Linked DNA regions of Drosophila melanogaster. The protein of the gene in region 1 interacts with the protein of each later gene in a pairwise test. Each region holds a gene or a part of one and is shown in the gene's direction. Other genes may lie near its edges.

Region 1 (3,699 bases):
TGGCAGCTGCTCAATTAACAGCGAGGTCGGACCCGATACCTGATCCATTGAGTCGTGGTCGTTGGCCACGTCGTCGGTGAGGCGTGTGTTCTTTAGCAGGGCCACATAGGCGTGAAATATGTCGGACTTAACATTCTCCTCACGCTCCTTGAAGCGCGCAATCAAAGCCGGACTCAGGCTGCGATAGAAGTCCTCGACGAGCTCCTGCCGTGTGGATATCAAGACCTCCAGACACTTGGCTGCAGCGCGACGAACCTTCCAGCTCATGTCGTCGTCGTCACTGTACTCCTCACTATCGACGTACTCATCATCCTCCGTGTCCATGGCATTGCCAGTGTCGCCATCATCCGTCTCGTAGTTGTAGTTTGGATCGTAGGTGATATAGTTGAGGCACAGCTCCAGGATCTAACAAAACCCATAAGCTATTAAACGTGAATGAGAACATAAAGCATGTGTACTCCTTACCATGGGAATATGCGGGTTTATGGCATCTGGGCAGCGCATGACGAAAGCTTCGCAGGCCTGCAGACAAAACTCGCGCAGCTCATCGTCATCCCGCTGGCTGTACTGGCTCAGCAGGAGCATGGAGCGATCAATGTGATTGCAAAGTCGATGGCCAGCCTGTCGACTAAAGAGTAAAGTTAAATAAAATTGCATCTAAAGATCATATGGCATAAAATATATAACAATTTCAGGAATTGGAACTTACCATATCGAAGCCAGGCACTGAATGTAAGTTCGAATGGCAGCTGGATTTGGTGGGTTCTCTAGGCCATCGAGCAGATGATCGATGACACCGTTGTAGGCGTTGCTATTGGCCTGGATCAGCAGAAATGACAGGGCCACGATGGTACGCTTGCGAACAGCCTGGCGCGATGAGGCCAACTGGGGCATCAGAGCTTTCAGAATGGTGCTGTGGAAGGGAACGAGGAACTCCCCGAAGCGAGAGAGCAGATCGGCCAGAATGTCCAGCGACTCCAGTTTCACAGAGACGTCCTCCTATTAAGGAACAACGGATTAAACGTTTGGGTGCCTAGGGAATAGCAATATAACGCACCTTCTCAATTGCTGTGCTCAGTTTGCCGGTGATCCTTTGACAGACATTTGGGGCCAGGGAGTTTGAGGACTGCGGCAGCTCGGCAATCACTGTCTTTAGGCCAATACTCGATATGTCGCGCAGCTGCTCCGTGTTGGACATCATGTTGGCGCACAGCGAGTCCACGATGGTCTCCACCTGGATCTCCTTCACCTTGTTGACCAGGGGACCCAGGCACTTGACAGCCAGGTTCTGAACTTCGCCGTTCTTGTCTTCCAGCAGCTTGAGCACCATTCGCACCACCTTTTTCTCGGACTCGTCGTCCAGGATGATGCTATCCTTCTGTAGCTCCGTCATCAGATCGTTTGTCGCCATGAAACGGAAGTCCTTGTCCGTCGACGTCATCTGCAGCAGACGAGAGAGCGGAATTAGAATTTCGTTATGTTGCAAAAATGAAATTCTATACATACTTTTTCCAGCAAATTGGCAATTTGGTGGTACTGATGTGACGCCATAGCGAAGGCTTTGAAACGTTCGATCGATAGCAATTAACTGATAAGTGAAATATTGTGTATTTGTATTGGGCTGCCCTATTTTTGGTGTTCTAAAACTTGAAAATTTACTGAAATTTTTCCGGTATTGAATCTCCAAGTTTTATATTCACTCAATTTTGTTATAAAGGCTGCTTAAGTGGGCCCACTTTGAAAAACTAAAAAACCCACTTTATAATCCCTAATGCCTTTTGGATGCCGATAATGGTTTTGGTACATTTTCGTGGTATAAAATACGGTGGAGAAATATTTTGGAACAAGATTTTATGTACTAGTAAATTTTTATATTTAGGTTATTTTATTTTTGAGTTAATACATGACAATCAAAATATAAATATATATATTATCAAATATTAATTCCCAATTTATTTACTAGTAAAATACTTTGTGTCATTACCATCGTTTCAGATGAACGATATATCAGCTATGTGGCACTAAGAGTCTCCCATCTCTAGAAAAGTGCCGCTCGTTTTCAGGAATTATTTTAAACTAAACCGCAGCTCACTGCTAGAATTCAATCAAAATACCTTTTTAACACCAATAAATGCTAACAAAATGGATCAGATTTTAAACAAGGAAAACACCGGCATTAATTGTAAGTTGAATTAGGTTCGACTCCCGTTCGTGTTAGTAATTACATAGCCATTTATCATTGCAGTGCCAGCGAATCCCATTAAAAATGGAGTTCCTACAAATTCCGTATTGAAGAAACCTCTTGGTAACCTTGACAATGTGATGCACCAAACTCCTGGAATAACCCCGTTCAAAAGCACTTCTCTGAAACTCGAGGGTAGTATTGCCAAGCTTTCGCTGCGAAAGGCCCCCAAACAAAATGTGGTCAGCAGGGATCGCGAGGAAGTTAGGTATAAAACAAATAGCTGCTTTTTGGGCGCCTACGTATTGAATTGCGAATACAGAGTCGTCAATTTGTTCAACTACACTGACTTTCCGAACGAGAAATGTTTGAAGAACTGCAGCAAGCGTAAGTACCGCTCATATTAAACAACTCCCCTTGAAAATTGTACTATAAGTTGTATTATTACAGCGGTCACAGAGACCTGGTCGGAAAATCAAGAGGGCTATGAAGGACTATTGGATCAACTTTATCTTGATCTGCGCACATTGGAAAATAATTTGGAAAACAGATGCCTTCCGCCCCTAGATTTTACTGACCTGCCATACATATACAACACAGAAAACATGGAGCCTGCAGAGCCTGAATACTTATTAAATTTATATCCCCCATTGCCTAACTTGGAAGGCATTGATGTTCTATTTTAGATCCTTGTTTAAAAGTTCTATGATTAATTGTAGTTTAATATTTTTTAGCTAGGTATCTTTGTACTACTAATTAATTATTTATTAATGTTATGCTAAGAGAAACTGTTATACCATTAGCTATCCAAGTTTGTTGTCTCGAATCACATTTGTGAAAAATATTTTTTTTACGCTACAATATATTTAGTAGTTTAAGAACCGACATTAAGCCTCCAACAGGCAATTATATGTGTACGATGTACCTCGTTTGGAAGTGATTTTGAATTAAAGCAACTATAAAAACTAACTGGGAGATTAATTTATGGAGCTTTGGAGTTCAGTTGTGAATGTAAACAGAGTTTATTGCTTCCACCTTTTGTCTCTTGATATTTATCAGCATTCGCGGGGCTTAAGTATATTCACTCCGTTTATATTGAATTTGATATTTGGTGGAATAATTCTAATCTATTTTTAGGGTTTCCTCTGTGTTTGCCTAATATGAAAAGTTTATATTTATTTGGGAATTAAACATTTTTGTTCAGTAAACCAAAATATTTTCCCAGCTAGCTAGCTTTTGTTTGCATCTTGTTAGCCTTTTCCCGCTAAATGACGTCTGGCTTTTTTCTGGTGGCCAACAGTTGGCAACACTGCGGCACAGTAATGTATCCAGTTTTTTTTACATTGCTGCAGAAAGGTTTCTCGTCTCGCTGGTGACCTTAGTGGTCCGTTCTCCTGGATAAAATAAAAGTGAAAATTAACAATATGAGTGTATAAAACGAAATGTAAATGCAAAAGAGGTATAAATCTAACAAATAAACATATACTCGTGCAAATGAACATAAAAAGACTCACTTA
Region 2 (5,282 bases), on another chromosome or scaffold:
ACTGCGCAGTCGACCGCGACATCGCTGCAACTGTTGGAATGTGTGCCACACACACACACACATACTCTCGGTATTTTTTTTGTTTTTGGGGTGGCTTAGCTCTTGTTGTTTTTGGCCTTTCGTTACATGTGCTGCTGTGTGCGAAAGTTTTAATGTCTCCCCAATGCATATGTGTATGTGTGTGTGATTTGGCGTACGTGTGTGTTAATGTAATATTAATGTTATAATTTGCTAGGCGGAAAGGACAACGAACGTGCCGAGTTAGCGACATTAATAATGCAGCCAAAAAACATAAAGGATAAAGGCCAGTGAATTTAAAGGGGGGCTTGGTGATAGGGCTGGCTTAGTGGTGTGAGGGGGTGGTGTCTTTTCTTTTCCATCATGACAATCAAGCTAAAAAATTTCCGATTAAAGGATCAAGCCTCTCTTTTCCAACACTGGCCCACCAGGCAAAAGTTCTTGAACAGCACGTTTCCCGACAAAGTAAAAGTGAAAAGCAACATCAAAATTAATAAGTAGAAAGGATGCTGACGCTCGCGTCGCTGTCGCTGTCGGCAGTGGCAGCGGCCGCAGTAGCGGCAGAGGCAAAACCAAAGAGAGCAAAGGTCCTTATACCCCTGCGCCAATTCAATATTTATCGAAGCTTTCGTTGAGTTAAAACAGCGACCAGCTGCAGCTTCTCTAACGGTAATTATTCGCTCTAGCCGCTTGCACTTCAAAGTTTTTAAAGGTTTAACAAATGTTTTTGCATATTTTGAATATTGTTAACAACTCGTTTTAATTAGCAAGAAATACTTGAAAATTGTATTTCAGAAATAGGCGTGGCATCAAAGCTCGAGCCGCCCACTCGCATCGGTTAAATACCGTTATCTCTTGCTGCCTCCAAAAGACGTCATTAGAAAACTGCAGTTTGCAGCTGACGTCGGCAGAGGCGGCAGCAGAGCTCCAGACGCACGTCACAAAGTCTTGGAAAAAGTACATATTTAAAAATCAACAAAAAAGCCAGCTTAAAAGTTAACCAAAAGTCAAAAAATAAAATATTGTATCTCGGCTCGCATATGCATTAATTGGCCGCCTATATGTACGGTATGTACATATGTGTGTACTTGGCTTTTGTTGTTGCGTAAGGTTTTTAGGGCAACTAGAGGGTGTGGTTTAGGGTTGCCAAAAACTAAAAGGCTTTAAAGGCTAAGGGTTGACCCTCGGAAATGAATATGAACTGCATTTGATGGGAAAATAGCGCTAATATATTTTAATCAGACACTAAAACACTTGAACAAATATTTAATTGATGTTAAGGCTCCATTTTGAGAGGGTGTGGTTGCTGCGCAGCTTCCGCTGCTCATCCTTATTTAGGTGGCGTGGCAACCCTAACATCTGTTTTCCGGCCAACCTGCAATCTCTTGCACCTTTTCATCTCGATTCATGTTTTTATGAATGAACGGCCGCAAACATCAACAAGAGGGAAAGCTTTTTGCTGACAGCAAAACAACAAAAACGGGTGTACTAAAAGCTATAATGCCTTAAATCGTACGATTATAGTTTATTGGGCATAGGATGTTATAAAATTCTTAATTACTTTAAAACTACATAACTATGATCGTAAAAATTACAAGTTATCTGTAATTAATACAGTAATATGGCGTACCCGAATTGCTTGCAGAAAAGTAAATATTAATATTCATATTTTTAATTAAGTTTCATTTTTGTTAAAGCTTACGAATTTGACTAATATTAAGTACAATGCTTTTCACAATAATAACCGCGAAATTCAAAAAAAGTACTAGAAAATACCACAAAATGAGCTAGTTTCCTATCGCACATCGCCCATCGATAGCTCAGTGTTGGTAAAGGCTACAAGGCATCTATCGATATCGTCCGAAGAGGAGGAAGCAATTTGCGGACTCGAGTTTGAAAATAAGCAATTAAGTAAATAATAAATAATAGGAAATGCTGGAAACCGGTGACGAGGCTGAGATGCTGGCCGGTTTCACCAGTTCAGATGTTGGCCCCGAGGCGAAGGGTAACTATATAAGCAGACCCAGAAACTTCGAAATTCCCACTGCATCTTCGCAATAATATGTTAATGTTCATGTTTCTTCTGCAGAATATAATTTACTGCGCGCCGATGAGGAATACCGCAATGGCAATGTGGAGCACTCAATTTACTACCAGGTTAAAGCCCAGTTCCAGTCCACCGATCTGCGTTACCTTACCGAATCGGCGGAACTGGAAAATCAGCGTCCCACCGCAGAGGAGCTGATCAAATCAGCCACTAAACTGGAGAAAAAGGACTACAAAAGGTGATATATAAACTAACTAAACTCTTTTAAAACTCAAACAAACATTACCAACATTATTCTTAGCAAAAAATTTCTGCAGAACATCATCAAGTACCTCCAGCAAATGGAGCAGGAGAAACAGCCAAAGAAGCCAATCAACGAAATACCAGAGTATCTAGACTTCCTGGATGATGTCCAGGATCCTACAGAGGGTCTAACTCGCATTTCAGAGAAATGCAATAGTCTGCCCCAAGAATGGTGTGTCCTCCAGCTCTGCAAGAGCTTTAATCCCGCCACCACCTACTCCGTTTTCAATGAGATCATTGCCAGCGATGGAGCAATATATCTCACTCTGCTCCGACACTGTAGAAGTTCCCAACTGGGACCGATTTGCCTGAAAATTTCCAACGAAAATACGGCAAATCTCTTTCGAGAGTATAGCACTCTGGTGGAAAGATTTAGGCGAGTGGTAACCGTGGATCCACTCAACATGAAAGGTAAAGAGGCTAAGCAGAAGTATTGGGAGGAGCTGAATGGTTTTGACACTTTTCAGCAAGTAAGTACTACACATTAATATCAATGTATCTTATTAGCATTACTTTACCTCTTCTAGAAACTACTTGCCGACTTTCGGGACATAATATCTCCATATTCCTTTCTGTTCTTTGGCAAAAGATATGACTGCACTGTTGTTCAAAAACAAATCAAAGCCACCTATACTCGTGTTGACGATTTCTGTCTGCTTAATCAATGGGGTACCCACCAACGTGTTTTACTTTCCCAAGCGGCCTCGCATGCCAATCGACTGGAAATCGCAGATCTCAAACTCATCTGCTATGAGCTGTCGAGCAACGAAAATGAGATCCAGTCGGCATACGAATTGCTTAAGGGTTTGGCCAGCGACTGGGCGGAAGTGGAGGAGCGTCAGCCCCTGGCGAGCAGAAGATTTCCCATCATCCTGGTAGTCGATGAGGTAGTTCATCTGAATTTCTATACTATAATACATACTACTATATTATTTATGTAGCGTCTAGACCACCTCCATTGGGAACAACTAGTCACCGTGCAGGAATTCTCCCGCGTCAAATCACTGCATTGCCTATGGCGCTTGTTCCAGAATCACAAATCAAACATAAAGCATGGCTACTACACAACAAATATTAAACGTGGCATGTGTGTAATAAACCCAGATGCGGATTTGGTCAACTCCGGCCGCAGGCTGCGTAGCTTTTTTGAGTACTGGCTCTCCCAGTGGCAGCATCTTTTTGAAACCGTGCCCAATGAGGAGGTGATGGTGAAACAGGCGCTACAGGCGGATTGCTTTGTGTAAGATATGATTGCAAGCGAACAATGGCATTCTAATACTTTTGCCTTAAATTTTAGATACGCAGGTCACGGTTCTGGGCTGCAGTACGTCAATGGTCGCATAATTTGCCGGGCTCGGGTACGCAGCGTTGTTTTTCTATTCGGCTGCGATTCTACACGCATGTTGGGCACGGGCCTGTACAGCGCATTGTATGGAGCCCATGATTATTACCATGGAGCTCTGTGTCCTTCGATAGTTGGTACTCTCATGCCCGCCTTGGATGGTAATATGGATACTGTTTCGGTGACAATATTGAGTCGTTGGTTGGCCCCGGGGGATAACAAAGTGATTCCGTGGACACATATTGATCGGGTGCCTTGGCTCAAAAATGGCATTATAAAAGGTAATGTCTTATTTATATTATTAAGTTACATATTTAAGGAATTCTTTTAAATTTAGGAAAAGATGAAACCACGCCCACCATGAACGATCAACCCAACTACCATCTGGGCAGCCTGTGCTCTATCCTATCTCTCGTACAGCAAGGAAAAGTGGAGCCGAATATCTACAACTGCTGCATTTACGTGTGCCGCGGACTTCCCGCATGGAATTTGGCCGTGGAAAAGCTGCCTTTATAGCTCATTTCGTCGTGGAGTCGATCTCCCTAAGCAAAGTTTTGCGTATGGAACTGTGTACAATAATTTAATTTAATTGAACTACTTCATTCAAGTGGAAAGTGGTGCTCAAAGTTTGCATTAAACGCTAAATGTAACACTCAGAATAGTAAAAATAAACTAAACATTTATATATTAGGAAGAAATTCCAAGGCACTTACCTTTTCTTAGTTTATTTGGAAGATTGAGTGATGTTTCCTTATGGATTTAGCACTTTAACTGAAGTGTCCTTGATTTCGGTTAAGTTTTTAGTTTTAAGTAGAAGTTTTAAACATGTTTAGACTTTGTACATTGTGTTGTTGGAACTTTAAACCGTTTGAGAACTATTTAGATTAATTGATTTAGGTTAGAGTTTTCGTTTTCCTTAGTTGGAATCATGCCAGATACAGAGTACAGATTCATTCTTACATTTGCCTGTGCAAGAGTAGGGAGTGAAAAACATTAATTCGAGTACAAATCGCAATGTGGGTGAGGTAAAGTAAAAAAGTGAAAGTGTGGTGCAAACGACAGTCAGAGAGAAAGATATTGAGTGAAGGAAACATTGAGAATTTATAAAAATGCAATATAATTGAAATGCGAGTGGGGATTAGGCTAAACCCTCGTCCACGGGGCGAATGTGCAATAATGCCTGAATGCCCAGAAACGCCCATATATTTATTTACTCGCACTCGTACTCGGGCTTGTCGCCCAGTTTGCTCTCCAAAAACGCGACTCATCTCACCTCGTTCCCATCCTCGTCCTCGGGTTGCCCTTTTGGCCAGAGCTTTTCCCCCACCGAACCTGCGGCGACCTCCAATCGCCCAGCATCGCATCTACTTGACCTACTAACGCCTGTCGCATTATGACACACATTCGTTAATTAGGCCCAACCCAATAACTTCTTTTCTTCCCAGCCATCTAATCGCCGAGCGCGCGGCGTATGCGTAATATGCGTGTGTTTTTCTTTTTTTGTGTTACGGCCTCGATTTGCATGCCATAAAAAAAGGCAGACACACCTTGGCGCGTCCCTATTTTTATGAT
Region 3 (7,479 bases), on another chromosome or scaffold:
TTTTATAAAAGATTTCCATGTAACCACCATTAAAATTCCATTGTCCGTCTGTTTAACTTAATCGCTTATTGTGAATCGCGCTTTCTTCGTATTAACAATAATATCATATACTCAACCGTGGCTTTTGTCGCCTTTCAGATAAGTGCAATGCATTCTGTTTAAATGGTTTAGAGATCGATTTAGACGAGCTCGAGGCTTTCGAGAAGCGGGTTAAGGCGAAAAAAAGTTTGCAGGACAAACCACCTCCCCAATCGGAGGACAAAGAAGTAGACGAATTAGATGAATACTTGAAAGAGTTGCAGCTAAGGGAATCTACTGATGCTTCAACCGATGAACAATCTGTGATAAATGCCACACCGCAGCCTCCTAGCAATTCTAACTTAAGTTTTGTAATCCTGCTGTATTGGTTCCTTGCCATTTTAAATTTGGGCAGTGCTACATATTGTAAGCATAACGTTTCTGAACTTTTCTTCAGTATTAGTCGAACTTCTCTAACTCGAAAATGCTGCAGAAAAAGTAAAGATTCTCTTACCCACAAGAAGCGTTATAGTAGTTCGTAGGTTTGTTGATCTCAATTCCGTTGAACACATTAAAAAATCGATTTAGGGAAGTTCGAGATGTACAAACAAGCAAGTTGGTTTAATCAAATTTACCTTTGATTTTTCAGTTTCCGACGAAGATGACGACAGCGATGATAGCGACGAAGAGGCGAATGGTGAAGTGTCCCTGTCGGAGGTGTACAATGACGATTTGGAAGAGGATAACTCTGATTGGGAAGGCGAAGACGAGGCTGGCGAGGAGGACGAGGAAGAGGATTCCGATATTGATGATGCCGATGGTGATGCAAACGAATCGGCTGCATCAGTGAATGCCAAGGACAAGGATGGCGAAAAGGAAGCAGGTAAGTTCAATTATTTATATCCCAGACAGCATTAGTTCTTAATGCCATATATTTTCCTTTTTTTCTTTCCAGACGAGTCGCAAGTCAGAGGCAAGAAGAGAAAGCATGATGGTTAAAACCCTGATCTGTCGGTATAGCGTCTTTGTACGTTATAAATTTAAATATACACCCACACACAAAACAAAAACACACACACACATCATATTTTGATAGAAAAAGATGATAAATCCTTTAGGAAACCCACAATTTGTTTCTCTAAAATGTAAGCTAATGAAAGAAGAAATCGACAAAAAGAAAAAACAACAAACAACCCAAACAAAGAGGAGCATAATGAACGTAATAATCAAACAAAGCTAAACAAGAAAAAAATACATGTTTAAGCGAGAAAAATCGAGGAGGAATGCAAAGGAAACCAAGCAAACAACCAATTAAGCAAGTCGCATTAGTATAGCCTCATCCGAGCCCAAGTTCCAGTTTCATTTTAAACACCTTCGCCATCTTCAGGATTCGCAACATGAAATCCAAATCACTATGTTAAAGATTACACAATTACAACGTGTACAATTTTTAGCCATCCAGCAGCATCTTGTTTTCAAATTTCAATCAGTCACGAAAATCAAACAATAGCTTTCCGGCGTTATTTGAACAACTGCGGATTTGTCAACGTTTCGCGTGAAAACGATCACACAATTTACTGCTAAGAACTTTTAACTAACTCTTAAGTCATTCCTTCTTTAAATACGCATAAGTTAAGCATCCTACTTCGCCCACTTTCTGCTCAAGGCGATTTAAACACACTTACATTGTTACCCATCACCCACCTCCCAGATACACAAACTTTATCTCCGCGTCATTCTGTAAACGTAGAGCACTCACTTTTGAGCAACCCGAATTGTTTACCTTTATATACTTTTAAGTGTACTTTTACCACATACCGAAATGTTTCCACTTATTCATTGGCAGTAGTGTTTTCATTAAATGTGGCGAGTAAATCTTATACACAAAACAATTTTAGACAAGACTTTTCATTTAATACACAAGTAATTAACCGATTATTATTAAAGCAGGCCCCGCGTTAATTTAACGAGATGAGATGTGTCTTTACCAGCCCATTGAAACTGAAATACATAAACTACATCATTTTAAAATTGTCTTTTACGGGGGAAAATGGGAAAATGATTTCTATTAAAGAGAAGAGCTTACGCATATGAGCGTATTTTTTTTTATTTAAATCTCGATATCAATAAAGCAACAAATTGTATCGTTATCGGAAATGAGCATGGAAGTTTAGTATTTTCCACAAGAATTTGTAGTATTTGTGTTCTGATATGAAAACTAGAGATATCGATGTTATCGTTAAAGGATTTCCAGCTTTAGCATGGACGGTCACACTGGATCTCAAAATCTGGCGCAAAGCAACAAAAAAGGAAGCGTCGCAGTTAAACTAGTTAAATGTGCCAATTCCCTTTGAAAAAATGTCTACTGATATAGCCACCCAGCTGAAGGGCAGCCGCTCCGATGTGGAAAAAGTCCGCAAAACGGTGGAAGCCAAATTCCGGGAGTTGTCTGGCGATGGACTACCTCTGAGATACGAAGTGAATGTATTGCGCCATATTTGCCTCGCCTTAAAGGATAATCTGCACCAGAACTCGGATCTTTACTGCGACATCATGGGCATAATGCTGCCACGCGTAGTTCCCTGCGAGGAGAAGCCAAGCTTATGGGAAGCGCACTTGTCCAGCCTGCGGTACATACATCATGGCTTGTTTCATCAGGTAGGAGTCGCTATAAGAATCTTCGAATCTTTCTAACCAATTCTCCCGTTCACAGCGATCCATTGAAGCCTGTCAGAAGCTGTACAACCTCATCCGACAACAACCCTGCCGTCTGCAAGAAGAATCAGACTACAAAATATATCTGGACATACATTTGACCCACTTCAATGGTTTCCATGTGCTGCTGCAGAAGCAAAAACTCCCCTTGGAAGCTACAAGTCAATTGTGTTATGCTTTGGAATCATTGGGAGATCTATTCGCAGCCATGACGCAAAGGCAAATAAGTCTATGCGCAACGCTTCTAGTTCAACTAAACGAGAGTTTATTTGGCAAAAGAAGTAGATCATTCTTCAAGTCCCTAAGCTTCCTGCCGTCGGAGAGTCTTGCCAAAATGTTCAACGCGCTGCTTATGCTCCTGGCCAGCAGCACCAGTTCGAACCTGGCCAACTTATTCCCTGAGTGCCTGAGTCTCACGTTGGCTCTCGTACAAATCGACATGTTCAGTCCACAGTCCAATCAACAGATGTCATTGCAGCTGCTGCGCATGAGCAAGGAACTATTTCGCCAGGAATCAAACCTGTGCTATGCTCTACAGCTGATGTACTACTATATCAAGTTAATCTTTGTTCGGGAACCCACAGGCGACTTTAAGCGCACCTACATTGACTTGTCTAGCAAGTTTCAGCACTTCTTCGAGCACAAAGTAGCCTCGCATGCCAAAGAACAGTGGCTAGCGGATTTTCTGGTGGCCATTCAATTGCTACAGGTGCTCATCCATCAAAGTAACAGTAAGTTGCAGAGTCCTTTTCAGATATTTTGGCAGCAGTTTGACGGAGAGAGCAGCCCCGATATCTACACAGCGCACTTTCAGTTGCTTCAGACGTGTGCTAGCTTGGCGGTTAATATTACGAGGAGTCCTTTGGGCTGCACTTGCTCCCACGAGGCATGCAAGAGCGTGCGACGGCACTGCATATTGGCGTATGGATTGTGCGCATTAGATGCGTATATTAATTGGAAACCGGCGGCGGAGCAGAAAACAAATGTGGTGGGTATTTTTATCTAATTTTGTGGAATTTTAATGCTACATTTCAATACTATTGCAGAGCCCTCACAAGCCCTTACTGGGAGTAGTCAAATACTCAATGGATGTAGCTAAGACCATGAAGTGTTTGGGTCCCACCAGTGTGGAGATCATTAAGCTAGTGCGCCAGCTGACATACGTGGCTGATCAGGTCACCTGTCCGGAGCAAATGTCCGTGCTGCTGCCACTTTTGGAGCCACTGCAGAAGCTGCGACCTTTGGTTGCCGACCAGGATATGAGCAGTTTACTCCGACGCCTCTTTAAGGCCAGCTCCCATTGCGGCGATTCCAATATAGCATGTCGAATTCAAGCCAGTTACTTGGCCTCGATTACGAATCCGGCACGATTAAGATCACAGGTCTGTTTGTACTATCACAATCTGGGAAAAAAGGGCACCGAGATCAAAAGGTGTGTCTACGAGTGGCACGAGTCCACGCCACTACCTTTCCCTCTCACTCCGGACCAGAAGAAACAGCTGTATGATACCGATTTCTTTGCCTTACTACACTATTTGAGGAGTCCTTCTACGGCTCATATGGAATCACTTATTCGTTGCCGAACGAGTGACTATCATCTGGTACTCTTGGCCAGACAAATGCGAAAGGATGACTCGATTTCGAAGAAATGCATAGAGGTTCATGATAAGCTAAGGCAACAACGTTCGCTCAGTCGAATGGATAACTTGTGCCTGGGCCACGCAAGTGTGGGACTACTACTGGACGCACTGGAGGCTCAAAAAACCAAAGTTTCCACCAAGGAGATAACGGAAAATATGTTCGAGGAGCTGCTACTCAGCAAGAATTTATGGCAGATGAACATACAAAGGGAGCAGCGATTGGTCAACTATGCTAGTGAAGCCATCTCGGCCTTCAGCAACTTCTTCGATCGAGCAGATCAAGAGCCATTGAGCGCAAATGAAACGTCTATTGATTGGGAGGCATTGATTGACGATGCCATCGCTACTGCCAATGCACTTTCAAGTATGGGGTATCAGTCAGAAGAGGATGATGCCTGGCTGTTGCTTCTGAGGATGGGTCGCTTGCTGGAAGATCGTTTTACCTATCTGCGTGCCCTAAATCATTTTCTGTCACAGAATGAGGTTAGTTCTCGTTTAAATCTGAAACTCGGCGAGGAAGTGGAAGTAGCAGAGGAATTGCTGGATGATTTGTGGCCTCAATTGAAAAATGGCAAATTCTTCAAGCGTCAGCAAACTACGGTAATGCTCTGTTTTTGTCACCTCGCCAGTTACTATGCCAGAATGGAATGCTATAGTCATGCCCAGTTGCTTCTATTGCATGTGGAACAACTTCGCGAAGAGTTTCCTGAGAGACAAGGAAAAAGTGATATTGTATTGCTTACACTGCAAACGGTGCGCTTTCGAATTGGGTATCAGCAAAGGAAGCCAACGAATTGCAGGCTGCCGACTCCTCTGCGTCAATTGGACATTCTTCTGGACAATGTGCGAAGTTTTTGCAATCTATCCAGTTTAGATGGCGGCTCATTGCAGCTGCTTCTTTCGACTCTTGTCAGGGAAAGCACCGAGTGCTCTGCGAACAGATTAAGCGAAAGACTGTCCTTCTCCAACATTGCACTACATTTGGTACTCCAATCTGGCTTGGCTTTAAGAGCCATAGAGGTATTCCTTGCATGGTTATGGACCAATTTGCAAATGGAAAGTTTCGACAAGGCGCAATCGAAGTTGAGACTCATCGAGCATTGTTTAGGTATAAAACAGCTGAATCCAACGAGTAGGCCGGAAAAGGAAGCGATTAAGGATGTAGCAATTAGAGATCTGGCTAGTAATATGCATCTCCTCCAGTTGGTGGAGCCGATCAGAAAGCAGCAGCTATTAAATATGGCCTCGCCGAATCTGCTCAAAATGCGACCACATAGCCCAAATCCCCAACTGGACTTGGATCGCTACATAACACTCGATGTGGCGCCAGCGAATCTTCGAGAGAATTCCCAGCTGCAATGCTTGTACTTTGTAACGGGCTGTCTACATGCACGTCTCCGCTTTCTGCAGAGAAACAGCGAACAATTGGACGAATTCTATGGAAGAGCGCATAGTTGGATGCAGGAAAAACCTCCGATGAGTAGCGCTTTGTATCCCATGTTGCATGCCCAGCAGCTGTATCATCTGAACTATCTTCGCTTTGCGCGAAAGCATGTAGAGGCTATATCAACGGCTCAATTGGGCCTTAAAATGCGATCACGCGCGGTCGACATTAACTTCGAGTACAATTTTTTGGCTCAGCTAAAGACGGCTCAGTTAGAACTCAAACCCGTGGGTCAGGATAAGCCACAGGTCAAAATCCTTCGACGTGCTTTGGTATTCAATCACTCACCCGAAGATAAGAAACGAACCGCAATAGGATCGGTTTCAGCAGTCAAGAATACGGCGTCTAAAGTTAAACAGTCGGCCAAAAAGGCACCTCGATTCAGAATTTACGAGGAGCTGGAACTACGACCACCAAGTGCTACCAGTTGCAGTAGCAGCGGTGGCAGCGGAACAGAGAATACACCGCCTTCGGATCACGTGGATCTAAATGCCTGCCAAGCGATCGAGATAAGCGACGATGACGATTCACCTTTGGTGTCCACAAAGAAGACACAACCAAAAAGTAGGGAGAAGGCAAAACCCAAGGCCACATCCAAAGCTTGTAAAGTCCTAACATTGGATAATAGCTTGGAAATAGTAGAAACGCCGACAATAACTACAAGTACACGGAGCACCAGAGCCAGGCTGCGCCAACCAGTAGAGACACCAAAGACAGCGACTCTTTCATCCAAGCGAACGAGGCGCCAGGTTTTGGAAGCACAGGCTCCCGAAACGGAGTCCATTAGCACACGCACACGGCATCGGCACTGATTAGATAGTAGTCTCCTTAGTTCGTATTTATTCTTATCGAAAATGTCTTGGTATTTAAATATATATATATATTGTGTGTAAGTGTTACAAAAGAGCTTTTGACATAAATTCATTGTTTTTATCTTGTGGCAGGGACAGTAGTGACGTTCTACAGATGTCCTTGCTCCAAAAACCGTGCTGAATCCGCTGTCCATTGCTGGCATGGTAAAATACACCTGAGCCCGATTTGCAGCCTCCTTCAAATTGACCCACGTAGCGATTTCCCGTTGCTATGGATAACATATTAACTTATTATCTATAATCTTTATGCATTTTTAAAGTTGCGAAAAAATAAATAAAATGAAACAAATACATCCAAAGGAACATATCTTATTTCTTTATCACACTCACCCGTGAAAAGTAAACCCTTTTCGTGCATCTTGTCCCGAAGCCACTCGCCCACATAGATGCCGCCATCCGCCTGCCATAGGATGCCCTCTCCACTTCGCTGGTCCGCTAGCCACTGACCAAAGTAGACGGATCCGTCCGGATAGAACTGCTTGCCCTCGCCACTCCGCTTGTTCTCCCGCCACTGACCCACGTAGATGCGTTCCATGCGGCCATCGAGCTCCTTGCGACGCAAACTTCCGATGCCATGCCGTTGACCCTTCTGCCAGTGACCCTCGTAGACAAGTCCACTGCTCGTTTGCTTTACCCCAAACCCGTGAGGCTGCTGGCCCAACCATTTGCCCTGGTACTGCCCACCAGGATAACGTTGAGAGCGAACTCCACTACTATATCCGCTCGTACGCGACGACATGTCTTCGATGACTGAGCGCGGGAGCAAGTCCGTCCAATTGCGGCGGTGCCA

Evidence for each region.
Region 2: the proteins of pim (region 1) and Sse interact in a two-hybrid assay, tested with the Drosophila melanogaster proteins (2 studies listed by BioGRID).
Region 3: the proteins of pim (region 1) and thr interact in a two-hybrid assay, tested with the Drosophila melanogaster proteins (2 studies listed by BioGRID).

Annotation. Positions count from the first base shown.
Region 1 is NT_033779.5:10,360,957-10,364,655, forward strand, and holds pim (pimples), read left to right. Parts: upstream 1-2,032; 5' UTR 2,033-2,142; coding exon 2,143-2,182; intron 2,183-2,245; coding exon 2,246-2,569; intron 2,570-2,632; coding exon 2,633-2,868; 3' UTR 2,869-3,136; downstream 3,137-3,699. Other genes in the region: Cand1 (Cullin-associated and neddylation-dissociated 1), read right to left, coding at 1-405, 466-628, 710-999, 1,058-1,441, 1,507-1,551.
Region 2 is NT_037436.4:5,658,823-5,664,104, reverse strand, and holds Sse (separase), read left to right. Parts: upstream 1-1,857; 5' UTR 1,858-1,950; coding exon 1,951-2,023; intron 2,024-2,107; coding exon 2,108-2,303; intron 2,304-2,366; coding exon 2,367-2,838; intron 2,839-2,895; coding exon 2,896-3,255; intron 3,256-3,309; coding exon 3,310-3,608; intron 3,609-3,665; coding exon 3,666-3,991; intron 3,992-4,047; coding exon 4,048-4,226; 3' UTR 4,227-4,405; downstream 4,406-5,282.
Region 3 is NT_033778.4:17,860,748-17,868,226, reverse strand, and holds thr (three rows), read left to right. Parts: upstream 1-2,263; 5' UTR 2,264-2,376; coding exon 2,377-2,676; intron 2,677-2,731; coding exon 2,732-3,721; intron 3,722-3,779; coding exon 3,780-6,629; 3' UTR 6,630-6,713; coding exon of another isoform or gene 6,714-6,898; 3' UTR 6,899-6,954; downstream 6,955-7,479. Other genes in the region: mapmodulin, read left to right, coding at 139-444, 668-901, 974-1,017; CG14490 (uncharacterized protein), read right to left, coding at 6,714-6,898, 7,020-7,428. UniProt on the Drosophila melanogaster protein: Required specifically for chromosome disjunction during all mitoses; maternally provided protein is sufficient until mitosis 14 then zygotic protein is required.